4 linked regions of the Arabidopsis thaliana genome follow. The protein of the gene in region 1 interacts with the protein of each later gene in a pairwise test. Each region holds a gene or a part of one and is shown in the gene's direction. Other genes may lie near its edges. The genes, in order: AT4G30790, ATG13, G1 and ATG8E.

What was found.
Region 2: the proteins of AT4G30790 (region 1) and ATG13 come close enough for resonance energy transfer, tested with the Arabidopsis thaliana proteins (one study listed by BioGRID).
Region 3: the proteins of AT4G30790 (region 1) and G1 come close enough for resonance energy transfer, tested with the Arabidopsis thaliana proteins (one study listed by BioGRID).
Region 4: the proteins of AT4G30790 (region 1) and ATG8E come close enough for resonance energy transfer, tested with the Arabidopsis thaliana proteins (one study listed by BioGRID).

The regions. Positions count from the first base shown.
Region 1 is NC_003075.7:14,991,360-15,001,951, reverse strand, and holds AT4G30790 (autophagy-like protein), read left to right. Parts: upstream 1-3,302; 5' UTR 3,303-4,166; coding exon 4,167-5,110; intron 5,111-5,206; coding exon 5,207-6,842; intron 6,843-7,427; coding exon 7,428-7,648; intron 7,649-7,791; coding exon 7,792-8,005; intron 8,006-8,137; coding exon 8,138-8,569; 3' UTR 8,570-9,096; downstream 9,097-10,592. Other genes in the region: AT4G30800 (Nucleic acid-binding, OB-fold-like protein), read right to left, coding at 1-99, 386-486, 569-609, 725-736; AT4G30780 (ATP-dependent DNA helicase), read right to left, coding at 9,097-9,827, 9,965-10,266, 10,353-10,459, 10,543-10,592. UniProt on the Arabidopsis thaliana protein: Accessory protein involved in autophagy. Acts as a scaffold protein of the ATG1-ATG13 complex for faithful delivery of autophagic vesicles to the vacuole.
Region 2 is NC_003074.8:18,374,622-18,382,479, forward strand, and holds ATG13 (Autophagy-related protein 13), read left to right. Parts: upstream 1-2,857; 5' UTR 2,858-3,270; coding exon 3,271-4,640; intron 4,641-4,689; coding exon of another isoform or gene 4,690-4,703; coding exon 4,704-4,871; intron 4,872-5,164; coding exon 5,165-5,483; 3' UTR 5,484-5,653; downstream 5,654-7,858. Other genes in the region: LSU1 (response to low sulfur 1), read right to left, coding at 814-1,098; UBP26 (ubiquitin-specific protease 26), read right to left, coding at 6,321-6,415, 6,493-6,634, 6,723-6,986, 7,224-7,436. UniProt on the Arabidopsis thaliana protein: Involved in autophagy in a nutritional condition dependent manner. The ATG1-ATG13 protein kinase complex regulates downstream events required for autophagosome enclosure and/or vacuolar delivery. Becomes a target of autophagy under nutrient starvation.
Region 3 is NC_003074.8:19,207,630-19,213,839, reverse strand, and holds G1 (transmembrane protein G1P-related 1), read left to right. Parts: upstream 1-2,990; 5' UTR 2,991-3,176; coding exon 3,177-3,947; 3' UTR 3,948-4,325; downstream 4,326-6,210. Other genes in the region: ATG2 (metallopeptidase M24 family protein), read left to right, coding at 272-365, 475-559, 655-804, 897-1,050, 1,537-1,752, 1,838-1,974, 2,061-2,152, 2,214-2,414 and 1 more; BAG4 (BCL-2-associated athanogene 4), read left to right, coding at 5,662-5,869, 6,045-6,210. UniProt on the Arabidopsis thaliana protein: Heme-binding chaperone that may be involved in cytochrome c maturation in mitochondria.
Region 4 is NC_003071.7:18,620,815-18,627,125, forward strand, and holds ATG8E (AUTOPHAGY 8E), read left to right. Parts: upstream 1-3,449; 5' UTR 3,450-3,564; exon of another isoform or gene 3,565-3,722; 5' UTR 3,723-3,730; coding exon 3,731-3,770; intron 3,771-3,892; coding exon 3,893-3,948; intron 3,949-4,340; coding exon 4,341-4,393; intron 4,394-4,492; coding exon 4,493-4,712; 3' UTR 4,713-4,977; downstream 4,978-6,311. Other genes in the region: AT2G45180 (Bifunctional inhibitor/lipid-transfer protein/seed storage 2S albumin superfamily protein), read left to right, coding at 5,563-5,967. UniProt on the Arabidopsis thaliana protein: Ubiquitin-like modifier involved in autophagosomes formation. May mediate the delivery of the autophagosomes to the vacuole via the microtubule cytoskeleton.

The DNA.
Region 1 (10,592 bases):
TCGTCCTCTGCATCTTTGCACTGTGACAAGTTCCAGACAAGATGCGACCCCTGATTGAAACCGTACCAGTAAAGGGACATTTCTGGTCAATGTATGTTCCTGCAAATAAAATCAAGAAAAAACATAGCTATGTCAAACAATTTCCCCAAAGCTCCTAAAATTGGGCAAATACCACCAATCTACTACCCAAGTCTTAGATCAATGAGAATACTAACAAAGCGGCATTACTCTAAAATCAGATTACTCAGAAAATGTCTCAACAACCAAATTAGAGACACTAAACCAAAATCCTCTAAGTTCTCTAAAGAATCCAACTTTTTTAACAAATGAAGCTTCTTCTAGACATGGTAAAGCAAAATTGAGAGCTGAGACATAAAAACAGTACCTTCAATAGCCTCTCTTGGAGTTTTGAAACCAAGGCCAATGTTCTTCCAGAAACGATTACCTCCTTTACCAGGCCTCTTTCCCTTACCAGATTTCTTCGAGCTGATAGAACATTTGAATCATAAGCATAAAGAGACCATAGCCAAAATACAAAGCAGTTGAATTTTTGAGGTGTGACAATTACCTTAAGAAAACTTTTGGTTGCTTAAGAAACGCCTTCTCCGTCTGCAAACACACCAATCCATCATTAAAAGCCAAAATCAAAGAACCCAGAAAACGAGAATCCAACAACTAGCAATCCCCAATTATAACATAAAGACAATGTAATGTAGATCCAAACCTGCTCTGCCATGGTTGAATTGCAGAAACCCTAAACCTTGAAATCTTCTGACGAAAACCAAAAACCCTAATCACGGCTTTGTTAGTATATATATGGGCTCTACTTGTTTTGGGCTTAATTAAGGACTTCAAATTCTTTATGACTATCCAATCCGGTTGAACCGATACGAGAACCAAACCAAAACAGTGTTAGAAAACCGATCTGAAAACTGAACCTAAAATAAAATAAACAATTTTGCTTTCTAACCAGACTGGATGGCTAGTTAGAACTGGACCGGTGAATAGTATTTTATCTATGAATGCGAATCGAATGCTTGATTTAAATGAAATGGTTATCTAAAGGATCATTTGCCATATATAATGTCTTTATACACATTTAGAAAATCTAGGCACTTGAACTTAATTGTAGAATATTACGGTAAGTGTTAAAGACAAATCATTGATAGGCACGTAAAACAGATTCAGAAAGTGGTACGTTATGCAATGACAGGACATTTTATATATAGCAAAGCTAGTAGGTCCAACATGATGGGAGCTTTTATACTTTTACCATATATTCAACCACTTATTGGCCAACACAAGGACAGTACTCTCAAAGTTGGATAACGTGAAAAAATACTTAAAATTTTCTGATTACATTAATAATCGAAATACATAGAAAAAGAAAGGATTTCGTTATCAACTAAGATTCAATCAAATAAAGTAATCCACCGAGTGATATGAAGTTCTTGACACTATTTCGGTTGTCACAAACAAAGTAATATACTCAAACTTAATTAAGCAAGAATTATTCATCCATTTATCGCATGTAACAGTGAGTTTTTTTAATAGAATATATATATATTGTCTCTTAGTCTCATACCCAAGTCGATAACGAAGATGTAGTGTTTTACAAATTCCCACTAAAATATTTGCTTGAATCAATTTAATCTATCAAACTCTTGTAGTATCCACATTCAACGCGAATTAAATATCTAGCTAATATCATTGATATAGTTTATTTTATATTATAAAATCACAAGTACTATATATAATATAAAAAGTGTGAAGAGTTTGTGGAATCCATGTTATCCTATTTTCATTTGTGTGGGCTATGTTTGATTCTGGATCCAAAGCTAAGTTGTCAAAAAACGAATCTCACGAGATTCCCCTTAGGTCATGTCAACTTAATAATCATATATTAGTATGTTTGTTTCAGGTGGCAGCACATCTTGTTTCCGATTGTTCTGAGCTATATGCTAACAATCCAGAAATTTGCTGCATGCATTTTAGGTTATACTTTTATATGTAACAAAATCTATTTGTTTATACGTTTTATTAAGTAAACATTGTTTTAGTGAGGACCATTTAATTAGAAGTATTATTATTGAAGAGATGACCATTTTTTCCTAAGTCTAAGAATTACATATTTGGCATATACAGAAGATTACAGATTTGCCGAATTCCCATGTGGAAGCTCAACCAATCTGATGTTACGTAGCCTTTGGAATTATGTGAAGTGTTACCTTTTTGTCCACAGATATTCATATATACAATTACAATCAAAATGTGGCCTTCTTATATCTTATTGGTGTAGTAGATAACTCTATCACATCTATAGAGTGTAACAAATATTATATGATGAATCTCGAAAACAATATATTAATCAAACACACAGTTATTCACAAAAACATAATTAGAAAGAGATTAAAAACAAAAACACAAAAAAAAAAATTGTTCTTTTTTTCCGTTTTCTATCTAGTAACAATTAAATGCAACCATTTACGGGCAAGATTGTGTGAAAACATTGAAATATCACTTTCAGAAGATCATTTTCAATGTCAAGTTGTTTGCATACTTAATTTAATCATTTCTTACCAATAATAATGGACCGCCTATGGCCTATGGACATCTTCTGTGTGTGTGTGTTTGTGTGGTCCAATCCACATCACATGCCAATCAAGCTTATCATATCATATGATAGGAAATGCCAAATTTAGTTTATATACATATATGTGTCCACCTATTTATACACATATAGTATTATCATATCATACGTTACTTACACAATGAATTCAGCTTTCAGTTATATGGCCACGATGGTTCAAATCTAGGAATATAACAAGATTAACGAGTAGAGTTATGCTGGTTTTGAAGGTTGGTTATAAGTTTTGGTATCAAAAGAAATGAAAGTAATTTATTGGCTCCACAATTTTATTGTATTGAACTTTTTTTTGTTTGTCCGTATCGCCAAGATTCAGATTTTTTTAGGAACCAAAAAGATAATTTTGTTATTCTTTTGTGTTGTTATTTTTGTGTATATCCAATGTGATTTTACATGTTCGAAATTCATGTTGATACCGTTACTCAAAACCATATACAGTACAATTTATGGTTGCGTTATGTGTTTTTTTTTGTGAAAAACCAAAGTAAATAAACCGAACCAAATGTAACCGGTTGTGTAAATTTTAAATCTGTTAGGGGTAAATTAAACCATTTACAAAACTATTGGGGTGAAACTGAAATACTTACAGAATTACCGTTCCCCCATAAAAATATTAAATTAAAATAATTACTTTTTATAACAAAACAGGCTTTATCTTGTCTTGTCTTGGACAACAGATGAAGAAGAGCGAAAGGGTTCTTCGACTCTGGTGTTTGCGTGAGAGAGTAAACTTACATTAGAAGCTTCTGCGCAACTTTCCATTATTGAAAATGTCAAAAATTTATTAGAAAAAAGGAAGAAGCGAAGTGGAAGAGGAAGAAGAAGAAGAAGAAAATTGAGGATATTAATTGTTTAAGTATAGTGGTGAAAGAGGTTTTCGTGAAGAGAAGTTTGATCCTTTGTTGTTGCGGCTTCGGATAAATTCTTCGACTTTGACACTCGTCTCTTCACGCAATCGCGTTCCTTTGTCGTATCACGTCTGCTTTTGCGTCTTCTAGGGTTAGCTTAATTTTTTTTTTCCTTTTTAAATAGAAACAAAAAAAGCAAAAAAGAGGATAAATTCTTCTGGGTGCAACGAAGGCGAAAGAAGGGGGATATTGATTCGGTTGAATATTTGATTTGGTGAATTTCGCTTAAATTTCGAGAATTGAGAAAATTTCGTGGTGGGTACTTTGGGATAACATTAGCTAACGCTGGATTCTGAATTTGTGTGTATCCTGGTCGTGATCAGGTCTGGATACTTGGGGTTTAAAGGTCTTCTGTGAAACATATCAAAAGCTCCGAGATTCGACGAGGGTTTTTGGTGAATCTGGATTTTGGTCAAGGATCGAGGATATAGAAAAGCTCTGTGCTTTTACAGATTCGTGGTTGGGATTTTGTGTTGGAGGGCTTTTGATTTTGGCAGCCTTGCCTATTTTGGTTCCTAATTTGATTAGGTGAGTCACCTTTCTTAATTTGGCTGTGAACTTTGGGGTATTGATTCTGTGGTTGAGGATTTTTGGGTCCTTTGGTGGTTACGATGAGCGGAAGCTTCACTGAGAGTTTCGCCGATGATGGCAAGCTTCTTCTTTGTGTGGCTGAGAATGGCCACTCGTTTGAATTTCAATGCAGCGAGACTACTTCAGTTGAATCTGTGATGCGTTTCGTTGAATCTGTTTCTGGTATTGCCTTATCTGATCAGCTTCTTCTCTCGCTAGACATGAAGCTTGAGCCACAAAAGCTGCTTTCTGCTTTTGGACTTCCTGCAAGTGACAGGGAAGTGTTTGTTTTCAACAAGGCTATGCTGCAAAGTAACTCTCATCCGCCATCACCAGAAGATGTAGATTTGCAAGACGTTGCTGATGCTTTACCACCGGCTTCATTACATGAACATCATCCCTTGGATGATGCATCGGATCCAGCTTTAAAGGCTTTACCTTTGTATGAAAGGCAATTTCGTTACCATTTCCATAAAGGCCGCACCATCTACAATTGTACGGTTGTGAAGCATGAGAACTGCGAAAGGTTAACGAGAGAGCAAAAGGTACAGCAGCGGGCTGTTGAAGTTGCTACTAGGAATCTGGAACAGTATTACAGGGTGATCTATCAGAACTTTCTTGAATTTATGAAGCGTTATAAGCATCAACACCGCCTCCACTCTGATTTGCTGATGAATTTTGGAAGGGATATTGAGAAATTGAGGTCAGCCAAGATTCACCCTTATCTTCAAACTGAGTCAAGGAAATGCTTGTTGGACTTTGTCAAGGAAGATAACCTCAAAAAGGCTGTGGAGAATTGTGCAAGCTCTCACAGGCAATTTGAGAATAAGATTGCACAGTTCCAGCAGATGTTTGTCGAGGTCAAGCGCAAGGTAGAAGAGTTGTTTGCCTGCAGGGCTTCTTTATCAATGAAGAACTTAGAAGTGACTGTTAAGGATCATGAACGCTTCATTGATGAGGAAAAGAGCATTATGCAGTCTCTCAGGTTTGTTCATTTCATTAGCTGGGAACACCTTTTATAATGTCTCTGTTGGAAATTTTATGTTGTTTATCTGACTGTGTTTTATAAATCTTGAAACAGCAAAGATGTCAATACGGTTAAGAAACTTGTGGATGATTGTATGTCTAGCCAAGTGTCCTCATCTCTGCGTCCCCATGATGCTGTTTCAGCCCTGGGTCCTATGTACGAAGTGCATGACAAGAATCACCTTCCCAAAATGCAAGCTTGCTATAACTCAATTTCAGAATTACTGGATTTCTGCAAGAACAAGAAGAATGAGATGAACAACTTTGTACACGGTTACATGCAAAAGATAACATACGTCACATATATCATCAAAGATGCTAAGTTACAGTTTCCCGTTTTTAGAGAGGCAATGGTTCGCCAGGATGACTTATTTGCAGACTTGAAGTTAGTCCGTGGTGTTGGCCCCGCTTATAGGGCCTGTCTTGCAGAGGTGGTGAGAAGAAAAGCCTCTATGAAGCTTTACATGGGCATGGCTGGGCAATTGGCAGAGAAGCTTGCTATGAAGAGGGAAACAGAGGTCAGGAAACGTGAGGAGTTTCTTAAAACCCATGGCCCCTTTGTACCTCGTGACGTGTTGGCTTCAATGGGTTTATACGATACTCCTACTCAGTGTGATGTCAATGTTGCTCCGTATGATACTAGTTTGCTCAATATTGAAATCTCAGATGTTGATCGATATGCTCCTGAGTTTCTAGTTGGGTTACATTCGAAGATTGCATCCTTAAAGAGTTCACTGACCATGTCTGGTGATAGCTCGCTTTCCGCTGAGCCTGAGGAGATAGGTATAGACACTTTTGACAAAGACAATTTTGATGATATCCTAGCAGCCTCTGAATTAATAGAGATAGCTGGAACCAGCAAGATGGAAGTTGAGAATGCAAAACTAAAAGCTGACCTTGCTTCTGCAATCTCTCGGATCTGTTCATTAGGCCCACAATTTGAATATGAGGTACTGGATGAAAGTGAAGTAGAAAATGTGTTGAAAAATGCTGCAGATAAAACAGCAGAGGCATTGCAGGCCAAAGATGAGTATGAGAAACATCTTCTACTTATGCTCAAGGAAAAACAAATGCACTGTGATTCATATGAGAAGCGCATCCGTGAACTGGAACAACGTCTCTCTGATGAGTATCTACAGGGACAGAGACATAATAATAAGGATGTATCTGGCTTAAACCTTATGCATGAAAAAGTTAGTGAATACAAAGCAGAAGCTTCAAGTGACGTGGAAGGCAACAAAACTCATGTATCTGGTTCAGAACCAATGGATGAGGTCTCTTGTGTTTCAAATCTTACTAGCAAGCAGCCATGTAAAGCTCGGGAAGGTATGGATGAGAATATGGTGGATTCCTCTCAGGTGCTCAGTCAACCGCTTGACTCATCGATGCTGGAAAGCCAGCAAAACAACGAGAAAGGTGGAAAAGATAGTGAGGCTGGGGAAATGGGTGTGTTTCTAAGTAACAGTTCGACAGCTGAGAGCCCACAAAAATCTTTGGATGATAATGTGGCAACTGGCAGAGGTTTAGATGCCAAAGACAGTGGTGATATTATCTTGGAACTTAGAAATGAGCTGATGGAAAAGTCCAATAAACTGAGTGAAATGGAGTCCAAGCTAAATGGTGCTATGGAAGAGGTATCCAATTTGAGCAGAGAGTTGGAAACGAATCAGAAGCTTCTCGAAGAATCCCAGGTTTGGCAGATTTCTCTTATCTTTCTAACTCTATAATCTATTCATTGTATCGTTAGTCTAGGAGCTAGTCTTTCTTTTTTGGTGTGTTATCTATCTTTACACCATTTTCTGTTACTCTTTTGGTTGCTGGTATTTGCTGTGTCCTAGACGTCTCATAAATTCTAGTATCTAAGGTGCTAGTATCAGGTCTATTTTCTGTGTATCTTTTACTGGTAGTGATGTCAATCATCTGGACTAGGAAGGTTCAATATGCTTTTGCACAATGCCTAAACCAGTTGAAGCCAACCAGTTCCAGGAGCCATAGATCAAGGCTTTCATGATATCTTGGATTACACCTGGTTGACCAGTCATTCAATTGTGAATTTTCTTCGTTTCTCTCAGTTAGTTTACTTGTACATTCTAACGAGAGGGTTATGAACAGTTTAATGTTTGTGATTTGGCAGACATTTCAATTAGAAATATCTAGAGAAGCATGGTTCTGCTATTTCTGCGTCACCAGATAGCTTGTGCACCTTACACATTATAGGAACCTTTCCCTCTAAATTTTTACCTCTGATGTGGTATACATTACTATTTTGGTTGTAGATGAATTGTGCGCATTTGGAGAACTGCTTACATGAAGCAAGAGAAGAAGCCCAGACCCATCTTTGTGCTGCTGATCGTAGAGCTTCTCAGTATACTGCACTTCGTGCATCAGCTGTGAAGATGCGAGGTCTCTTTGAAAGATTCCGGAGCTCTGTCTGTGCTGGTAGTGGGATTGCTGATTTTGCTGACTCCTTGCGAACTTTGGCTCAAGCTTTAGCCAAGTAAGTTCCCATCTGTACGCTTCCCAAAAAGATAACCTTAGTTCTTTTTCTCTTGTGTATATGGCAGTACTTATCCACTTTCAAGCTCTTGTTCTGAAAATGTTTCTCTGAATTTGCATTTCTCCTACTTGGGAATTTCACAGCTCCGTTAATGAAAATGAAGATGATGGTACTACTGAGTTCCGGAAATGCATCCGAGTCCTGGCAGACAAAGTTAGCTTCCTCTCCAAACACCGGGAGGAATTATTGGAGAAGTGCCAAAATCTTGAAGCCACAAGTGAACAGACAAGAAAGGATTTGGAGGAAAAGAAAGAGCTGGTGAAAACATTGTACACTAAACACCAACTTGGGAAGCAGGTAGACTCGTGTTATCTCTAGTAACAGTCATGGTTTCTTGCAGTAAATTTTCTTTCTCCTTTTACTACACATTCATAATTTGGAGTGTCCTCGGTTTTGAATGAGAAAATTGGTGAATTCTTGTGATGACAGGCAAATAAGGAAAAGATATCATTCGGTCGTCTTGAAGTCCATGAGATAGCAGCATTTGTGCTAAACCAAGCAGGGCATTACGAGGCAATCAACAGGAACTGCCCAAATTACTACTTGTCCTCTGAATCTGAGGCATTGTTCACAGATCATCTCCCAAGCCGGCCTACATACATTGTTGGACAGATTGTCCACATAGAGCGCCAAATAGTGAAACTGCCATCACAACTTTCAGCTTCTGCTTCTCCTGAGGCGGGTAAGACACATCATCTCTGCTCAGACCAGGGCTCGAGAACTCTGGCATCAAGTTCAATCTCAACATCAACTTCAGCAACAACAACATCAAACCCTTATGGTCTCTCTTCAGGATGTGAATACTTCATAGTGACAATAGCAATGCTTCCTGACACTGCTATTCATCAACAAGCTTCCTGATCCTTTTGCTTGTTCCTAAGGCAGCAGATAGACGTGATGGAAGAAACCCCCTCCCCCCAAAAAAGAACAAAAAATGTAAATACTTTGAATTCAAATAACACAATCTAAAACCAGACAGCCCCTTTATATGATTTGTGGGTTTCATTTGTCTCTTCTTTAACTTTCTTTTATTTTCATATCTTTCTTCTTTATGTACAGCTGATGATCACTGATCTTAGTTTAATCTTTTCTCCTTGTATTGTACATACTCTGCTATAATTTGAATGCTGTAATAAAAAGATTACTAAATATTACGAGAAAATAAAAAAGTTTTAGGATAAATAATGGAATCTTTTGCCTCTGCCAACTTTGGTTTATATTGGGAATAATATACAGAAATTAATCATCAAAACATGTTTCTTCAAATCCCTGTGGGGGTTGTAGTTACCAAGTGATAATTTTGATTTACAAGAAAAAAAAAACAGAAAAGCTACTAGTCCAGGTTCCTATACTTGCCAAATCCAGAAAAGAAAGGCGGTATCTATAAATTATCTATTATATGCATCACCATCTTCTTCTGAAATGTTGGACAAGAACTTTGGCAAGGATGTGATCCGGGGGAGGTGTAATAGCAAATCGCTGAATGAGTCTTTCCTTAACATACCCTGTGGTTTGCTGCTAGAAGCTGTATCAAGAACTCTGTTGTTGTTGTTGTTGTTGTTGTTGTTGTCAGAAACAATTCCCTTGGGTTCAGACTTCAATCCAACCGACATTTCGGTATTGAGCTGTGAGTTTGCAGCGACGTTGGGATCCTTGTACAAGAGGTTGAATAAAGAGTTAACCCTTGGCATGAGAGACTTCTCATCTGGTGCCTCGAACTGGATATTATCACTTAGCAACTGCTGTTTCATGATCTCAAATTTCTCCATATGTTCCGGATGACTTCCACCAGCAGAATCAGAGAGAAGTCCAACGAAATCGCTCACTGACATAGATTGGTGTAGTCCAGGTACTTTTATCTGATCTGAATCAGTTATGTTTCTTGAATCAGATAAATATGCAACGAAATCACTAACTGACATAGATTGGTGTAGTCCATCTACGTCGTCAGCCAGATTCAAATCCGTTGTGTTTTTTGTATCACAGAGAACCGCAAGGAAATCACTCAGTGACATAGATTGGTGTATTCCAGGTGCTTCGATCTGACCACAATCTGTTCTGTTTCTTGAATTGACTGCTTCAGAACCCCCAATTCCTTCATTTGCACGAGCATCTATCACTAGAGATGAACGAAGCAAACAAACAGAAATATAAATCCACAATCCTAATCAGGTTCAACAAAAGTGAAAATGAAAAATTATATTCTAATAACGAGTTATGAAAGCAACTAGAATGAGCGAGCAGTCATCATAATACCTGAGCTGGGTGATGGTGCTTCATGAGACAGATACATATGCTCAGATGATGACTGAGCCCCAACAGGAGATGCTAAATTCTGAGTCCCAGAGATCGAAGGACCTGTACTAAGATTCAAATTCCCAAAAGGATGGCCTTTTGATTCACTTGGATCCTCAAAAATAGATTGCCGTGCATCAAAGTAGGGAGAGTCAATAGCTATCTCCGGCTGTCGGCTTAGATGGAACAGACGATGATCACATTGAACGAGCTTTTCAAAATGTTTGTTCATTATCCCTTGAGCACATTGCAGAAAATGCTGCCTAACAGATCACAGGGAGACTATCGTTAGCTGAAGCTAGGACATCACCAAATTTATTCAGAAAAAATTTACATGAAATGCCTGTACCTGTTCATGCTGGCTTGGCCATCAGTGAAATCTGATGTCGCCTGCCACAAGGTATGCTTTCTAGGCTGTGGGTTTGTTTCCCGGAAAAATAAGGGCTGTCTAGCAAGCTGAAACATAAAGAGTCAAATCATTAAAGTTGAACAAGAGTGATATGTTGAGCAAAAGAAAAGAACATGAGTGAATGTTATACCACGAGAGTCAAAGTTCCAGGTCCGTCTTCAGGACAGTTTGCCTTCAAAG
Region 2 (7,858 bases), on another chromosome or scaffold:
GATCAAAACAGTTAATTAACAGCAAAACAAACAAAATCACGTCAAAATCGAATGTCAATATTCCTCTTAATTTGCCAGCACCACATATCTTCATACTATTTTAAATGATTTTTTTTTATATTAACAAAATAAATATATAATTAAATGAAATAGAAACAGAAAATGACCCTTGAACCAATGGAAAACTTACACAATTTCATGTTTCACGTCCCCTAAAGACTATTGTTATGGTTCCATAGAAAAATCATTGAACCATTCTCTCCTACGGTTTCCATTGACCACAAAAAAAAAATCCTGAAGTTGTGGAAAATTTCCATGAAACTCATGTACCCAAAAACCCTTTATTTTTTTCTACACTCAAGTTTCAATTAACTCTTCTACGATTCCTTTGAAAATTATGGTAATGTAGGATTTCATGGAATTTAAACTTCAAAGTTCTTCGATCCCCTTCGAGTCTCCAATACCTACTAGTTCCATAAAATTATTTTGATAGTTAAGATTGACATTAGATCTCACTCATATATTATTACTTCATTACTTAAACATGGTATCATTCCAAAATATTATTTGCTTCCATAAGAACTTTTGTAATTAAAAGTCAAGACAAAATATGCAACTAGTACCAGAAATACTAATTCATTAGAAATGGAGTTCAACAATTTGTATGATTATCAGAAATTCTAATTTATTCACTAGAAATGGATTCAAACATTTAATTTATGTTGAAAACATAACATATTACCATCGATCTATATACATGTATAGTGATTGTCACATACACAACTATACATAACTTATGAGAAATATCTTATTCTACGAGGAAGAGACGACAGAAGAAGAAGAGAGACGAGAGATTTGATCCATGAGGAAGAGCATGCGATCGTGATAGTCACGTGCCTGTTCTAAAGACTCGACCTCCAGCTCCGCCAGCTGCGAGCAGAGTTGCTCTTCCGCCTCCTCCGCCACAACCGTTCGCTGCCACAACTTAATCATTTCTGTCTTCATCTCCGCCACTTCTCTCGAGAGCTCTATGTTCCTCCTCCTTAGCTCATCCATCTCTTCCGCCGCCACCGTCACGCATCCTCCTCGGTTCGCCATTAAGATTCTTTGTGTAAAAGGATTTGATTGTGGTTCTAACTTTGTTTCTTGATTTGTTGAGTGTTAGGGTTTGATTATGTTTCTTTAATAGGCGCTTTGTGTAGCTTTTGCATGTCCAGGTTCAATGTATCTGCTTCTTGATTTTTATTTCTCCTCACTTTTGATTTCGGTCAATATTTTCTCCTTACTTGAAACTTAAACATACTCATGGCTTATGTATGCATAGACCACCCCAAAAGAGAAAATTTACTATTTTTTTCGAATGTTCAATTTTTTTTTTTCGTTTTTTTATCACAGTTTCGCTAGGTTCGATTTAAATATTTTTTATATGAAACTTAAACCAAATTAATTTCGAAATTTCCGGTTTATCCATGTTATTAACTAGTTTTAACTTTAAAATTAATAAACAAATTGCCGTCTATACAACTATAAATTGATAAATGGATAAATATATGTTAACGTGTAAATAGAATAGTAATTAATAATTCTAATGCCGTGGTTTACACAAATTCAATTTAATTATTTATAAATCTCTGGTCCGTCAAATTTGTAATAAAAATGTGTTGGTCTGATCTCTGATGTATGTATGTGGTATATATTGATTACATTATTGAGTTAGTAGGGCTTGAAATAGGTGACGTCTGAAGCCAATCACTATAGTGTTTCTCACTTTCTTGTGATATTGTGAGTTTGTGACAAGGATTTATTCTTTAGATTATTAACTAACAAGTTAATAATTTGGGAAAACGCTGCCGCTTAATATTGCGTTACTTATATTATGATTGAAGAACTATTATGGGATATTTCACGACATCATACATCTACAACCACTATAAAATAGAAAATTAGTGTACTATCACCAAAAATATATTTCTCCTGTTCCATGAAATTTGATGTTTTAGATTTTTTTTTGTTCCATAAAAATTGATTTCTTAGGTTAATATTATTATTATTTTTATTAATGACTAATAGAGAGAGGAAAGAAGTAGAAATTATATTATTAAATTAACAAAAAAATAATATAAATAACATAAAAGTTAATTTTCTTAATTTGGGTGAAAAACCCAAAACATCATTCTTTTAGGAACATAGAGAATATATAATAGACATTTACAACTTATACATTTGTTGATAACATGCAGTATGTTAGTTTGAATACATATTTTTCACAACAGTAATAATAACAGTTGTTAGAAGACTAAACTACATTGTAAGAATCGCTTTCTCTTGTAATGATACAATATAACATATAACATTTAAAATAAAATAAAAATCTGTAGGTTTTAAAATGTTAGCTACGTAGTCCATAACTTCAAAAAACCAATGGTTTTGAACTCATTCCATAGTGATGATTGCAAATACATATTATCTGGTTTACAAAAAAAAAAAAAAAGTGTTCCAATTATCTAGAAATGTTGGGCCTAATGCTTAAACAGTAAGCCCATATACTTAAACATCCGACTTGGCGCATTTGCTTCACCTTCTCTACCAAAAAAGCGCGTGAGATTCAGGTTCACTGTATACATTAAGAGCCTATTGTCTTGTCTCCTGTAAAACCAGAAGAAAACAAAAATTCAACAAAGGATAACAAGGACGTGGCTATTCTTCATTGGCTGCATTCACAAGAGTCGAATATTAATTAGTAATTTCACAGTATAGTACATTAAGATTAACGAGACCTATTGTCTCCTGTAATTGAGGCAACAAGATAAGGGTAAAACGAGAAAAACAAAAGAGAACAAAGACGTGGCTATTTATCATTGGTTGAATTCAATATTAATTTAATTAGTAATTTCACAGTGTTCTCAAATCGTGATCGTGTGTGTTTCTTCTACCTCTGAAACTCTTTTTGTTTATGTTGATCATCATCATCGTCATCTGCGTGTAAAACACACTCACGCCATCGTTGACGTCTCAGATCTTCACATAAAAGCTTCTATTATCAAACTCTCTTCCTCACGGTAACCCTAACTATCTGTAATTTATCTCTCTACACTTTCTTCATCTCTTAATCACCTTAATCATCTTAAGCTTTGTATTTCTAGATCCTTCTCCCAAAACAACGATTCGTGATCTCCGTTCTCATAGATCAGTTTCGGATTTGGATATTTCTTAGGGATTTGTGTGAGATATTTTTAGAATTGTTTCGATTTAGGGATTTGTGTGAAGAAGATGGATTTTCCAGAGAATTTGCCTTCAGATATAGGAAGATTAGAGCAGATTGTTTCTCATTTCTTCCCAAAAGCATTACACATAGTTCTTAATTCCAGAATCCCTTCGTTGCAATCTCGTGGTCGTACTCGTGAGCGTTTATCAGGTCTTAACGTTAGAAAAAGTGACAAATGGTTTAATCTTGTGATGGGAGATCGTCCTGCTGCGTTGGAGAAATTGCATTCTTGGCATAGGAATATTCTGGATTCTATGATTATTGATATCATTCTTGTCCATCCGATTTCAAACGATAATTTGGATGATGATGATGATCATAGTGATTCTGTTGTTAGATCAGCTGAGACTGTGATTGAGCGTTGGGTTGTTCAATATGAGAATCCTTTGATTATGTCTCCTCAGAGTTCTGACTCTGCAACGCGTTACCAGAAGGTTTACAAGAAATCTATCATTCTGTTGCGGTCTCTTTATGCACAGACTCGGCTTCTTCCTGCTTATCGTGTCTCTAGGCAGCTGAGTTCTTCTCTTGCTTCTTCTGGTTATGATTTGATTTACAAGGTTTCATCTTTCAGTGACATATTCTCTGGTCCTGTGACGGAAACAATGAAAGAGTTTCGTTTTGCTCCTGTTGAAGTGCCTCCTGGTCGTCTTTGTGCATCGGTTACTTACCGTTCTGACTTATCTGATTTTAATCTCGGTGCTCATATCACATTGCCTCCGAGGATTATAACTGATTATGTGGGAAGTCCTGCAACAGATCCTATGAGGTTTTTCCCTTCTCCAGGGAGAAGTGTTGAAGGCCATTCCTTTACTGGTAGAGCTGGTCGGCCTCCATTGACTGGTTCATCTGCAGAACGTCCGCATAGCTGGACTAGCGGCTTTCACAGACCTCCAGCTCAATTCGCAACACCGAACCAATCTTTTTCGCCAGCTCAGTCTCATCAGTTGTCACCTGGGTTACACGATTTCCACTGGTCACGTACAGATGCTTTTGGTGACAATCACCAGCTTTCACCTCCCTTTTCACCATCGGGTTCTCCATCTACTCCAAGATACATATCTGGGGGTAACAGTCCGCGCATTAATGTGAGACCAGGGACTGCTCCAGTGACCATTCCTTCTTCAGCCACGTTAAATAGATACGTTTCATCTAACTTCTCTGAGCCAGGTAGGAATCCACTTCCTCCTTTTTCCCCCAAAAGCACAAGACGCTCCCCTTCATCGCAGGACTCTTTGCCTGGGATTGCGTTGTACAGGAGTTCTAGAAGCGGAGAGTCTCCTTCTGGATTAATGAACCAGTACCCTACTCAAAAGGTTATGCTTCTTACATCTTATGTGTCTTGCTCAATGCAAGAAAAATATCACTATATTTTGTATTGCCTCATCTGATATTTTGTTGATTTATTTATATCTACTCTTCAGCTGTCAAAGGACAGCAAATACGATTCAGGCCGCTTCTCAGGAGTTCTGTCTTCGAGTGACTCACCAAGATTCGCGTTTTCTAGGAGCCCCAGTAGATTATCTTCCCAAGACGACTTGGATGACCCTGATTGTTCATGCCCTTTTGATTTCGATGATGTTGATGAGTCAGGACTTCAGTACAGGTTGGCTTTATCCCACTACCTAACTTGAATCATTCAAAGGAAATATTATATACTTGGATTAGTTTACAGAAATCTTTACACATAGAGCTGGTCAATGACAAGATGCCATGAAGAAAACACTAATGTGTTGGCTGTTTTGTTTAATGTGAAATTGTTGGCATTCACACTCTATACTTGGCCTTTCTCTTACTGTTTCTTTATCATTTTTTGGTCTGTCAAGTTCACTTCTTCTTGGGTTTTTTAGTCTTTGGTAGTAAGAAAATGACAGATATTTTGCAATTTTTTCGATGCAGCCATAGTCTTGACCGGAGGAAAACTTCAAGCTCTATATCGCAGTCGCTACCTCTAGGGAGAAGATCATCACAGGACGCAGCGGTTGGTGTTCTGGTTCACATGCTGAAGACAGCACCACCATTACGACAAGACTCAAGCACTTATATGGCGTCAATGTCTGGGGTTCAGAGAGAAGGTTCAGTGTCAGGTACAGAATCTGAATTTTCGATGGCTCGTAGCACATCAGATGCACTAGAGGAACTGAGAAACTACAAACAGCTCAAAGACTTGCTTCTCTCCAAATCCAAAAGTGGGTCTGGACCAACTCGCGTCCACTGAGCCAAATCAAAGAGCGATCAAGATATGAGTTATCCGATGGTTGTTTGTAGATATGAATTTGATGACGAATACTTAACTCTGTTGTATATTGCCAAAGAGCAATCACGTTTTGGTTTCTGTAAAAGAACTTGCCTTTGAATATGCACATAAAATAAACTAATCAAACTTGAATCTTTTCATTATGAAGTAGTGAAATTTATTGAGGGTTTTGTTGTTGTTGACAAATCATGTGAAAACCTTGTTTTCTCATCTGGACCTCTTTCTAGAAGAAACATGAAATACACAAATGTTGAAAACCGGTCACCTATACTCTTTTAAGATGAGTGTGAAACGAAGCAAAGAGTCACATTGATAGAGAGATCGGATGCATGATAGTTCCTACTGTGATAACAAGCTATTTGGGTATAAGGTCACAAGATGTGCAGCACAAAACGAGAGAGAGAAGAGTTTTAAACGCAATGCCCATTTAGATAAAAAGTACACCAAAAACACACACACAAAAGTCAGCTTCAAATAGCCATCCACAATAAGCCTTTGCATCTACACAAATTCAGCTTGTGCTAAGCTTTCTCCAAATCTTTGCGTTTGTTTTTTACACAAAATAAAGCTCCAAAGCCTTGCCTGCCTTTACAAAAAAACTGACCCAAAAAATGTGTCGTCCGTCTCCTGCACAACTACTGAGAAAGACAAAATCATAAGACCACCGCAGATAAGAAGAGATTTTAGTTTCGAGAAAGTAGCTCTTATAAGATATTTTACCTCCTCTAGATGGTCCAATGACTCTTTCTCAGTTCTCACGCATTCTGTTTTTACACTTTGATCACAAAGTTACAATTTCTAGCAGGCTTCAGAAGAGATATTCCCAGTCAATAGCGTCCCTCGAAACCCTTCTTCGATATCTTGAGCCCCCGGTTTCTTTTCACATAACTCATCTGTTAAGACATAAGATGAATAGTTTTACATGGACATCTCGCTAACCAGACAGCAGAATAATGGTAAATTTGGTTACCAGCAATATCGCGGTGTTCATGCATCTCTGTATCTCTCACCCAAAGCCTGTCGCCGGGGAATATGTTCATGTCTGCAAGGGTTGCAGATTCCTGATCAATCACTTTTGAGCCTTTGTGGAGTTCCTGGTTTTCCTTCATCACCTGCATATTTTATTGAAACCCCGTTTTGTTGTGTTTCTTCAAGTTATCTACAGAAACGAAAAAAACACTATGTCTAAAAGAATCTTACCCCAAGTAATTCCCATATCATCATCTTTAATTGGTATACAGTCGTTGTCGCAGACACTTTCAGGCTTGTCAGGTTTCCATAATTTGTTCTCCGAGATCGCTTTGAAGTACGCCGATCCACCTCAAAGCTAGAGTCAGATGCCTCTAACATTGCTTTTGGAGCTTCCTTTCCACGCACAAAACAGACAAATACATCTCCCTCAGAGTAACTAAGTTTCTGCATCAACTCACAGCTTTCTCTCTCTCCTATGCATTCCTCGCAAATCTAGCGAAAATAAAAGATCCTGTTAAATGCAACTCTAGTCATGAAGTCATACAATAATAAATGTGAATGCAAATGATCACACTTGCTTTTAAGAAAAAGAAAAACAGTATACCGTAACGCATCTGAACTTCATATATGGACCAATGTGAAATACTAAGCCAACATTGCCATTCAATATTACATCACACTCTCAAAATGTTGACCAAAAAAAAAGGCTCAAGATAATAATGCAAATACCTCTGGGGATGCCCTGAGAATAAGCTGTTGAGCATCAACGTCCATATTATCATCCGGAGAAGAATCCTTCTCAAGGTCAATGACGTCTGGGGATGAACTTTGGTCTGTATTGCCAACCTCAATAAAAGCAGATATTCCATTCTCCATGAGCCCTCCCCACTCGTCACAGAAATATTTCCAATCAAGCTCAGGGATGATTGTTAGCTTGTCTGTCTAGAAAAAGGTGCAAGAGTACTAGAGATTAGATCAAAATCAGAATTCCCCAAGTCTGCGTTTGACGCTATAAACAGCCAACACGAGAGAGGATGTAAACTGAATCCGACAATCACGATACCAATTTGTTAAATTCAGAACATGATTCCCTTTATTTCTCACTGAAAGAAAATCACACCACAGAACCACGGAACCATACTATCAGACACCTTACTTCCAAGCTCTAAAACCAGTCTCAAAACACACAGACACCTCCCCACACTTGATTAATCTCTTATTTATAATATCCTTACTTCTACAGAAATAAGTTATTTATGTTCATATGAAAAATATTTGTTGAAGCCTCTCTATGTTGTGATGAACACTTATCAATTTTCCATTCAGATATTGGCTTTACTGTATCAAACAGTTTAAAAATAGAT
Region 3 (6,210 bases), on another chromosome or scaffold:
GGGTAAATGTTTAGTGGCCACAATTCTGAAACAGCTTCCCTTCTTCGGCCCATACTGGAGTACAAAAGTAACGCAATTAAGAAAAAGCGTTACAGGATTAATCCAAAACGGCATCGTTAGAAGAAGAGAGCACACATAGCGAAAACCCTAGTACCTTTATTTGAGCCAACACTTTCATTTCTCTCCTTCTCCACCAGTTTTCCCCCAATCGCTCCTCCTTAAACCCTAACATTTTTGCTTCCCCTGTTTCGATTCTCGAGAGTTATCAGAGATGAGTTCGGACGATGAGAGAGACGAGAAGGAGCTGAGTCTTACCTCTCCTGAAGTCGTCACCAAGTACAAGAGCGCCGCTGAGATCGTTAACAGTAATACACCCTCTCTTTCTTCCTTTCTTGTTTTAAGTCCGATTTGGATTTAGGGTTTTGAAGGTGTAGCTTTATCGAGTATTGATTTCTGTTGGGTTTTCAATTGCAGAGGCGTTACAGGTTGTTTTAGCTGAATGCAAACCAAAAGCTAAGATTGTTGATATCTGTGAGAAAGGAGACTCTTTTATTAAAGAGTGAGTATATCTCAATTTGTTCTTAATGTAGATTCGACCTTGGATTACTCTTAGATATTTATGTGTTTGTTCTTTCTTCTGTTTTTGTATTAAAGGCAAACAGCAAGCATGTACAAGAATTCTAAGAAGAAGATTGAGAGAGGTGTTGCGTTCCCTACATGCATTTCTGTGAACAACACTGTTGGTCATTTTTCACCGCTTGCTAGTGATGAGTCTGTGTTGGAAGATGGTGACATGGTTAAAATGTAAGTTGTCTTCAAGTAATACCTGTTTTTAGATGTTTCTGTATGATTCACCTGTGTTATTTCTGATGTTGTTTTGCGTTTCTCAATTGCAGCGATATGGGATGTCATATTGATGGGTTCATTGCCCTTGTTGGTCACACACATGTTCTTCAAGAAGGGCCTCTTAGTGGGCGTAAGGCTGATGTTATCGCTGCCGCAAATACTGCAGCTGATGTTGCTCTAAGGCTCGTACGTCCTGGAAAAAAGGTATCATCAGTTTTACTCTTACATTAAACTTGAAACTATAGGCTTTTGGTACTATAACTGCCTCTTGAATGATTGTCAAGGTTTTACAAAACCCAGATGATGAACACTTAATAAATGGCTATGGATTATTATCCATATGATGCTTTTTTGTCATAGTTACTCTGATGGGATTTTTCTTATTCTGATTTTTAGTCTGATCCCTCGTTGGATTTACTATGAGATGTTGGAACTTTGTCTAAGGTTTTCCTCTCTTGGTCTTGCACGATGCTTTTTTTTTTTAGCGGACTTCAAATGTAAATTGTTTTGGGAAAAGATTTCTGGATGAAGACCGTAATTGTTATGGATTCGCATCCAAATGAGGCCGTAGTTACTCTGATGTGGGAAAGTTCTTTAAAATAAAGTTTCTTGCTACGAGTTTGTAGTTTCTTGTTTAGTACTACAACATATTGCAATCAAGACATTGATATTCTGTTTTTCTTATCGCAGAACACTGATGTAACTGAAGCTATTCAGAAGGTAGCTGCAGCTTATGACTGCAAAATTGTTGAAGGTGTTCTTTCCCACCAGCTGAAACAGCATGTGATAGATGGAAACAAGGTTGTGCTTAGTGTATCCAGCCCTGAAACAACTGTTGACGAAGTGGAATTTGAAGAGAATGAAGTCTATGCAATAGATATTGTGGCAAGTACTGGTGATGGCAAGGTAATTTCTTTTGTTTATCGCATCCCGATCACTATTGGTGAACCTTTGTCTATTGCCATTGTTCTCACAATCTTTGACTTTGCAGCCAAAGCTATTAGACGAGAAGCAAACAACTATTTACAAGAAAGATGAAAGTGTTAACTATCAGTTGAAGATGAAGGCCTCCAGATTCATAATCAGCGAAATTAAACAGAACTTCCCCCGTATGCCATTCACTGCAAGGTGTCTTTTGTACCTTCTGAAGCATTTTATATTCCTTAAACTATTATCTCACTTGCTAACGTTACCTGAGAGTATTATCAATACAGGTCACTGGAGGAGAAAAGGGCACGGCTTGGACTTGTGGAGTGTGTGAACCATGGTCATTTGCAACCATATCCTGTTCTTTACGAGAAGCCTGGTAAGGATGATGAAAGGGTTTTGAATCTATAAACCTCTTTTATCTGAATCTTGATATCAAGGCTCATGTCGTTTTGGTTTTCTACCAGGGGATTTTGTTGCTCAGATTAAGTTCACAGTTTTGCTGATGCCAAATGGATCAGATAGGATCACTTCACATACACTTCAGGAACTTCCTAAAAAGACCATCGAAGACCCTGAGATCAAAGGGTGGTTAGCTTTGGGCATCAAGAAGAAGAAAGGTGGTGGAAAGAAGAAGAAAGGTAAGAACTTAAAATAAATTTCCAGACTTTTACCTTATATGACGTGATCCACATGTTGATTAAAAAGGTTCAATTTGGTGTTTTGCAGCCCAAAAGGCGGGAGAGAAAGGAGAGGCTTCAACAGAGGCTGAGCCAATGGACGCAAGTAGTAATGCTCAAGAATGAGTAGGAAGATTTGTCTTTGTTTCTTTTAAAGAATTTTTGAAACTTGAGGTACCTCTTTCGTTGTATGTTTGGGTTTCAAGAGAGTCTCTTCTTAAACAAAAAAAAACAAACAATAGTTTACCACCTTTGTGCATATTTTTGCACAAAGCACTTTTCATCATCATTTCTTTGCTTGTCCTAATCTTATCTCATTCTCTAATCAAAAATACTTATCTGGTTTCAGGCTATAACAATAACTCTGTTTAGAAACACTTGTTACCAACAAACTACTCTTTGAATGTGTTTACGTGGTAAGGATTTGATCCCACAGAAGAGAAATATTTGTGACAGAAGAAAAAAACTCAGCTCTTCAATAATCGAAGCTTATACAGATTTTTGGATTGGTTGATTTTGAGATTGTAACGAATAGTAATCAGAATTTCACTTAAGAAATTGTGATTGAACCCTCTAAACCACAGAGAGGGTTCTTGACGTGGTCCATAGTTCTTCAGTGGGGCGGCTTGTGGCTTCTTTTTCATTTTTCCAGAAAACCCCATAAACCTCTCGCTCTCGGGAATTTGATTGATTCCCACGAGGAAAAATCAATCTTCCCGGAAAATGGCAGCTAGGTTATTGTTCCGTCGAAGTTCTCAAATCCTCCGATCAATTCAACGAAATCCTCAAATCTCATCGTCATTCGAATCACCACCTTGCCCGATTTTTCACTCATTGACCACCGCCTCACCAGATCCATCGCGATTATCATCCTTAACCTTCCTCCGATCTCTCTCCATCGCTCGTCGCGGTCCAACACGTCCTAAGAAAATCGATATCGGAGCCAAAGCGCGTCAGATGCAGAATCGCCGTTTATGGACCTACGCGCTAACCTTCAGCTGCATCGCCGGATTCGTAGTTATCGTCCTTAACCAATTTCAGGATCAGCTTGTCTTCTACCTAACGCCATCAGACGCTATGGAGAAATTCGCAGAGAATCCAACAAAGAACAAATTCAGACTCGGTGGTTTGGTTCTAGAAGGTAGCGTTGCGCAGCCGGCGGCGTCACAGGAGATGGAGTTTGTGATCACTGATCTGATCACTGATATTTTGGTTAGGTATAAAGGATCTTTGCCGGATCTGTTTAGGGAAGGTCATTCAGTTGTGGTTGAAGGATTCATTAAGCCGTATACAGATGAAGTAAGGAAGGAAGTTTCTACAAAACCTATTTCGAAGAAAGCTAGGAACCTCGATTGTTTCTTCTCGGCGACTGAAGTTTTGGCTAAGCATGATGAGAAGTATATGCCACAGGAAGTTGCGGCGGCGATTGAGAAGAATAAGAAAATTATTGAAGCGGCGGCGACTGAACAAGCTGCTGAAGTTGCGGCTTCTTAGATTGGTATAAACTTCATTCTTTTTAAGTTAATCAAAATTTTCCCCAAGTTCGAGCTTTTGGTGAGTATTGTTCATCTTATAAGGTTATATTTGATTATAGTTTCTGGAAAAGAGTAGGAAGATTGGAATGTTATATTCCTGGAAAACAGAGATTTGATTTTTGAGTCTATTTGAGAATTAAGTGGAGAAATGTGATACACTATACAATAGCTTTGTTTGATTCCACAAAGCTATAAGCTAATCTACTTTCTTGTTGTGTTGATCAAATAAAGAACACTTTGACGAGGGATCAAATATGCTGCTTGATTCATTGTGTTGTTGGATGTTTTGTTTGTTGTTGATGTGCACACAGATTAGAGAAGCTATGTTTTGTTGCTGCACACAGATTAGATTGATCTAGTGAATCTTATTAGCTTCATCAGGTCGTGGGTATATAATTGTAAACGTATCACCAAAGTTGTAGCTTGTGTGACCTTATTCTTATCATGACTAGGTACTATAGCCAAAAGAGTTGAACATACAGGTCTTTCAGAGCTTCCTCTTAGTTGTTCTGGAGGTTCCAAGCTCTTTCTTTGTTGTTTTATAAATATGGGTTGAGCTTGTTGACAATCTTGAAGATGGTCATGCATTCCTTTTATGCATCTTATGTTTCAACTAGGCAATTCTGGCCCTGGAGATTTCAAGTTTGTACTTTCTGAGTCGATTAGGTGCCTAGTTTTTGCCTCTAGAATCATGGCATTGGCTTCTGTTTTGGCACTTCTCTTAGGCTTGTTGGTTGATAACCAACTACTAGTCTACTAATGTAGCTGTAGTTTGAAGTGTTCCGCAGTTACGCTATTGCTTTTGCTTTTTTTAAGTGCATCTTTATATATGCATCAGTCTCTCATTGTATAGCAAATTTATCGTGGGTGGTATATGATTCAGTCAACAAAAACTGACTATCAAGTATGGAACGAGTGGTATATGATTGAGTCATCAAAAATACTGACTATCAAGTATGGAACAAGAGCATTACGATATTTGTCACTACTATATTCGATTGCTATTGTGTGCTTGGTCCATTTTGAATATGGGACAAATCACCATTACTATACTTGCTGCCCTATACTAACTAGATTATTCCATATTCCTCGTAGATAGTTTTTGTTTTTTGGTTCAGAGAAAGTTCAGATTTTAGGCCTATAAGTTCTTTTGGTTGGGGACCATATCAAGTTAAATCTCTCACTATATGCATTGTGGCGGTTCGGCCGACCTGTCTAAAATTGGGCTTGTTCAAATCCTGCCTCAAATCCTGCCAAAGCGTGAGTTATATACATATACATTGACACTGAATCATTCCATCCAGGGCCGGTTGGCTGGATCCAAAATCAGTCGTTACCTATTTTTGGCAATCTTAAACTTATTGATTTTTTTTTTCTGACGTTTCACAAATCATCATCATATGTGAAAAACCAAAACATCTATATTAAGAAGAAAAAAAATATTGTTACAATTTCTGAAAATATTTGGTTCATTTAGTCCTTAAAAATTCTAATTACCAAAAAAGACAAATATATAACAATTGAAACACATGTGTGTTATCAGGAGAATTTGTATGTTTTGAGGAGGTGTGCATCATCCGTCTATCAATACCCTGACAAGGAAAACCCTAATTTTTTTTGGCCCAAAGGGTTTTATACTTTAATCTCATACTCCGATTCATTGTCGAAAAACGATGATGCATAATTCAACCGAAGAATCGGAATGGGAGGTGAGACCTGGTGGTATGCTCGTCCAACGAAGAGACGACGCCGCTTCCTCCGACCACAAACCTCTCCAGGATCCCGACTCTGCTTCCGCCGCTTTTGCTCAAACCATCAGAATCACTGTTTCTCATGGCTCATCGCACCACGATCTTCATATTTCTGCTCACGCCACTTTCGGTAACAAAACTCTCAGCTCCGTTTCTGATCCATCGCCTGAAAATTCCAAATAATCGAAGCCTGAGAGAATTTAGCGTGATTCATTATGAAATTTTTCTTGCTCTATTTAGTTTTTGTTGAAGTTGTGTTAGTGTAGTTGAAGATTGATATGTTTAAGCTCGAATGTGATAACTAGGGGATGTGAAGAAAGCTCTTGTTCAGAAAACTGGATTGGAAGCTAGTGAATTGAAGATCTTGTTCAGAGGAGTTGAGAGAGATGATGCTGAACAATTGCAAGCTGCTGGTGTTAAGGATGCGTCTAAGCTTGTTGTTGTTGTTGAGGATACGAATAAGAGAGTGGA
Region 4 (6,311 bases), on another chromosome or scaffold:
AATCTAAAACAAATTCTTCCAACATACCATTGGAAAATAATACAATAACGGAAGGGAAAATAAAAAAAAAGAATTTCACCTCTCAGTTTAAATAATTTCCCGTTTTCACGTACTTTATTTTCGAATACTTTCTCCAAAATAATGAAAGAAAGGGTCACTGATCTGAAACAGTGTTTTTTGAAAGAAAAAAAAATCTTACATATGCCGAGGAAACAGAGCAAAAAGACGAAACTGACGCAGATGGTTCATTACTAATATTTACTTTAATTCCCAATTTTACCCTTAAGATTCGAGGAAGACACTGCAAAAGAGAGAAGGACAATATAGTAATTAGAGGGGAAACAAGTCTGGCAGGTGGCTTTGGGCCTGGTTTTCGAAACTGAATCTGACGGACCGGTGCTCTATTTGAGTGTCTCTCTGGTGTGGCTTTTTGAAGATTTTTTGAAAACATCGAGACCAAAATCTTTCAACGGCTGAGATGCTTTGTCTCACTTCAAATCCATTGGCTCTAAATTATGTTGGAAGTATTCTTCCTTTTTCTTTAATTAGTCTTAACTACAAAATCTAAGATGGTGGTGGTGTCGATTACTTTAACTCGTGATTTAAAAACTAAACTCTTTTTTGCAAAGAACTTAAAGTTGTTAATCATAACATGTGTTAGTTAAATAACTAACACTATTTTATTCGAATTTATTATTAGGACCTTTTTTTGTTCATGGAATTTATTTTCAAAACTACATTATATTCATATATATATATATATATATATGTATTAAAGTTTTTGAAGAAAATACTAGTATTGTTTTGTGTGAAAGCATCTCGAAACATTTCCACTATTTTGTTAAAAACCTAAACTATAAGTTTATATTATTTGAATCGCACTTTGATATATTAATTTTGGTCAATGAAAATGACATTGCTATGTCAAATTTTTCACTCTGCTATTTGTTTTAAAACAAATGTTCATTTAAATATTAAGTAGTTAATGTACATTTTGTCCATTCTTAATAAACTACTTACATTAGGTATACAATATTAAAACAGTACTAAACACCGGTGTTGGAAACCAAACTTATGTTAAAATTATAAAACAATTTTTTCCTTGTCAACACAAATCAAATTAATCGCACGGTCCCAATATGTTGTTCACAATTTCTAAGAAAATTCGTGGTAATGAAACACCTCGATGACATAACATGGATCACGCTAACATATTTGTTTATTCTATATCTAATTCACTACTACATCTACAACCATAACAAGCACACAACAATAATATAATAGCATTACCAATAAATCAAGTGGTTATGTATGTATTTAACAACAATAAGTGGAGTAAATGAAAATCAAACAAGGAGATGGGCAGCTGGATTTCCAAGACAAGATTGAAATTCTTGGTTGCTTGTGTATGAATGTAAAGTAGACATGCTTATTATGTTATTATTATGTATCAGTATTGCCTTGAGTTAACCATATATTTACGTTCTTAAACCAGAAAGAAAAAAACAGATTATTATTATTATTATTTGAGCATTGTCATTATGAGAGACATGGTTTATTTCCCAAGACAAATCACAAACCTCCATGTGAGTTTCCACCACTATTGTGTCTCTGTCCTAAAACAAAATGTGTATCGCATTAAATTAGTTTTCGCCCCTTTTTGTTATTTTTAGAATACAAATTACCAACTTGCTTATTCAATCTTAGAGGTGATGACTAGCTAAAGAAGGGACACCACTAACGTGCCACTTGTGTAGAGATATTCAATTGTATATTATATAGTATGCAATATGAATTTTGTTTTGTTTTTTATATAATTTATATTTTTTCCGCCAATATTATTTTATTTATATGAAGTCTTAACTTATTAAACGTTTGCACAAAAAAGAAAAAATAAACTTCTTATTACGTCTCATACACAGGGTTCGGACCTTATTAGTGGCATTTGCGCAGAGTTACTATTATCGATCACTTAAAAACATATATAGGAAAAGTATATCGGTAATGGAGCTCTAGATGTAGAAATTTCGTAATGAAATTATGAAATCTCAATTAAGATGAACATGGCATGGCATACCTAGCCTAGTTGTATCGATGTTATGTTTGGATTTATATGCTTATGGCAGAAAGTAACAAATACAGAAATACAATAATGCTACTACATGGTTATAATATATGGTCTCTTTTGTTAAGACAACGACCAACACAACTACACCACAAGATAATCATCGATTAGTACATTATTAAATCTTAACTATTATTGCTAAAATCTAGGGATAGTTGAAATATAAAACTATACGATGCACTATTACATACATTCTCCATTAATCATTTGGTAATGATGAAGTGCTCCAATTATATACTACCTTTCTTTATTTTGTTATGTTCCTTAACATCTCTATTACTAAAGATTTTCGGAGATTATGAAATATTGTGAGGCATATATGATATATTCATACAAATTACTCTACACGTTTTTGAAAATTGATAGGTTTAAACATGATTGTACCAGGGAAGACATGGTCAAACAGAAAGCTATTAGCTTTGATGAGGGACCTCTTAACAAAAAATTTGTTGGTAGAGCCAAAATGATTGAACTGACAAATTTTCATAGAGTTTGGTGAATTGAATAACTCCATATGACCAATTCTGTTTTGTAAGACAACGAAAATTATGTTTTTCGAATATCTTTGTGTTATCGTACAGAGGAGCGAGTCACCAGAAAGCACAAACACAACGATTTTGTATCAATTACATCGATACGCAATACAAATATTTGGAATATGTCATACATATGTATTGGGCCTTTATCTCATGTCTCATCAAACCTCGTATCTATCATAAACTTACGATTCACAGACCCACTTACTACTTATTCTGGCCCATTAAAGTTCTTCTTTTTTTGTCGGTTCTAGCCCATTAAAGTTCAGCAACCCTTATTATTCATTTTTTAGTCTTTCTATTTCTAATTATTCAATTTTATCCAAATAATGAATGAATAAAGTTAAACACCGACACTGTTATATATATATATATATATAACAATACACCGCCACGTGAGAACTACGAATGGGAATTTCGCATTACATGTTTCGTTAACAATATAAACTGGAGGAAAAAAACACATCGAAAGGAAAAAAATTCAATGTAAGAAAAAGTGAGGGAAAGGCAAATCAAAGACGTGTTCTACACTAAAAGGAAAAGTATGAGGAAAAACTAACAATAAATTAAACAAAATTTGGTATTTTATTACGTAATAGTAGTATTAATTAATTAAAAGAATTGACATTGACCTAACAAAAATTCTTAAAACAAAAAGAAAGAAAAATTTGTTTGAACAATAATGGAATGACTTTGTTTGTTTGGAGAACAAGCTAAGCTGACGTGTCTAATAACTCAACACGTCAGCTAACAGACATATATAAACAAGTGTATATAGAGTTAACGTTATCCAATCATAGACGAAAAGAAAAAGGTTCCTTTTTTTGACTTTGTATCCGTAGATCATCTTCTTCTTCTTCTTCCAGAGTTTTATCCTTATCCGTTCCATCAAATTCTCTCTCTGTAAGTTTTCTGTTGATTTCTCTGTTACATACTCTGTTTTGATTTCTCTAGATTTAGAATTCATTTTTTTCCCCGAAAAGACGCGGAATTTCGATTTGGGTGTTGAAAACAAAATTAGGGTTTTGTGTCTCAATTTCTTTGATTGTGTATATTCTCAGAAGCAAAGATGAATAAAGGAAGCATCTTTAAGATGGACAACGATTTCGGTTAGTCTTTTATTCTTTACTGTTTCGATTTTGTGACCTAGAATCAGTATAGAGGCATACATGTGTATCAGCGTTCATATCTGTATATGTATATCTGATTTCTAGAGATTGTTTATGTGCAGAAAAGAGAAAAGCTGAAGCTGGAAGGATCAGGGAGAAATACCCTGATCGAATTCCTGTAAGTTTTGTTTTGATTTTTATCTGATTTTGTTCTGGTCTTGTAAGGTTTTCTTATGGTAATAGATCTCTGTTTTGCGTGTCTTTCAATTTATGATGTAGCATGAGTCTGTGTATGTAATTTAATAGTTTAGTTTGGGATGCATCTGTCTTTGTGTTGTTTTTGTTAATTTGATCAGTTCTGTTCTGTTCTTGTAAGGTTTTCTTATGTTTTTGTACCTGTGTTTGCGTATTTATCAATGTATGCTGAATTCGGTTTCACAAACAATATCATGAATCTTCGTGGTGAAATTTAGTTTAGGTTACAGAACATTAGCTTCGTTGTTTGAGAATCCAATACTGTTTGTTTTTTCTACAAGATTCAGATTATCTTACATTGTAGTTTGGTTGCAGGTGATTGTGGAAAAGGCTGAGAAAAGTGAAGTCCCAAATATAGACAAGAAGAAGTAAGTACCTTTTGTTGATCATGTTAAACTTGTTATTTGTTCAATGTTTTCAAGACTTGTATGTAATTTTGGAATTGTTCTGGATTTTGATAAATGCAGGTACCTTGTGCCATCAGACCTAACAGTTGGTCAATTTGTGTATGTGATTCGGAAGAGAATCAAACTAAGTGCAGAGAAAGCTATCTTCATTTTCGTAGACAATGTTCTTCCTCCAACAGGAGAGCTAATGTCAAGCGTTTACGAGGATAAGAAAGACGAAGATGGCTTCCTTTACATCACTTACAGTGGCGAGAACACATTCGGTGCTTCTTCAATCTAATCTCTGACCTCTGAGAATCCGCCACGTTTTAATGCTTCTTCCCAACTTTCAATTTGTGTGTATAGTTTGTTCTCAATATTTATCATTTCTCAAATAATTGTGATTACTATCTTCTTTTCACTTGTTAAAATGTACATAGACTAATCTTATAATATTATCTTCCTTTGGTATTATAAGTTTGTGTGGCTTTCTTTCTCCCTCAAAGATTTCATTCATTAGACTGGTATCATTTGATGATGCTACTACATGAATTCTTTCTTGGATACTAAACGGACCACTCTAGAAGGTATCTTACAAATTTGGATAAACTAGACCAAACCAAATATTGGAAACGAGTAATGATGAGATGTAGACTCTTTGAATTTTGTTTTTGGGATTATCTTGTCCAGTTGCATTTGGAAATATAATCGGTTGATGCTGAAAGATCTATCATTCATAAAAAAATCTAAAGGAATGGGGACTAATGCAATGTAAAACAATATCTTATCAACAACGTATAATGGATCTACACAACTATGATCAAACTGATGCATACCACCCAGAGAGACACTCTGTCTCAAAGTTTGTGGAGCCTCTTCTTTCACAAACAAACAAGACAAAAATCTTGTCTTTTCCCTTTCTGTGATAGAAAAATAAATTAACAATTCCTAAAAAATAGTCTAATCAATTTCAAGACCTCAAGTTGCAAAAGCCAACTAGCTGGATAGTTTTGTTTCTTACTCTAATTTTCTTAAGTCGCTCACATGCTATTTTATCTCTCGGTATATGTAATTAGTAATAACTTGTTCTATATAAACCATGTCCTATATCTCTCCTTCACATTCATCCCAAAACATTACAAAACGTTACAATGGCTTCTAAGGCTCTTGCAGTTACAGCTCTTCTTATTACACTTAATCTTCTTTTCTTCACCTTTGTAACCTCCACAAAATGTCCACCAACTACTCCTAAACCCCCAAAAACCCCGAAATCGCCTAAGAAGGCTCCTGCCGTGAAACCCACTTGTCCTACCGACACACTTAAGCTTGGTGTTTGCGCAGACTTATTGGGCCTAGTTAACGTTGTTGTTGGTTCTCCACCAAAGACTCCTTGTTGTACACTTCTTCAAGGTCTTGCTAATCTTGAAGCTGCGGTTTGTCTCTGCACCGCTCTTAAAGCCAATGTCTTGGGGATTAATCTCAATGTTCCTATTGATCTAACCTTGCTGTTGAACTATTGTGGCAAGAAAGTTCCTCATGGTTTCCAATGTTCTTGAAGATTTGAGACTTTAAAAGAGAAAAATCTCTTTGGTTTGCTATGTTTTTATATGTTTGTTTCTACTGTTATCTATTGTTTTTGTGAGAAAAAGCTTTGTTCTGTCACTGTTGAGTTTGATGTAATGCTTGAGCTTGTTCATGATAGAACCTTTGTTCTCTCAATATTGAGTTTGATGTAATGCTTGAGCTTGTTAATGGATTTTATGTTCTTAGTATTTCTCCTCTCGTCCATAAATGACATTCAATCATAACGCTCTTCTATTCGTGCTCATGCTTCAACGCCTCTATTTGGTTTAGAGGGTCTCTACGTGGTCTCTTATTGGTTAATTATTATCCAACCCAA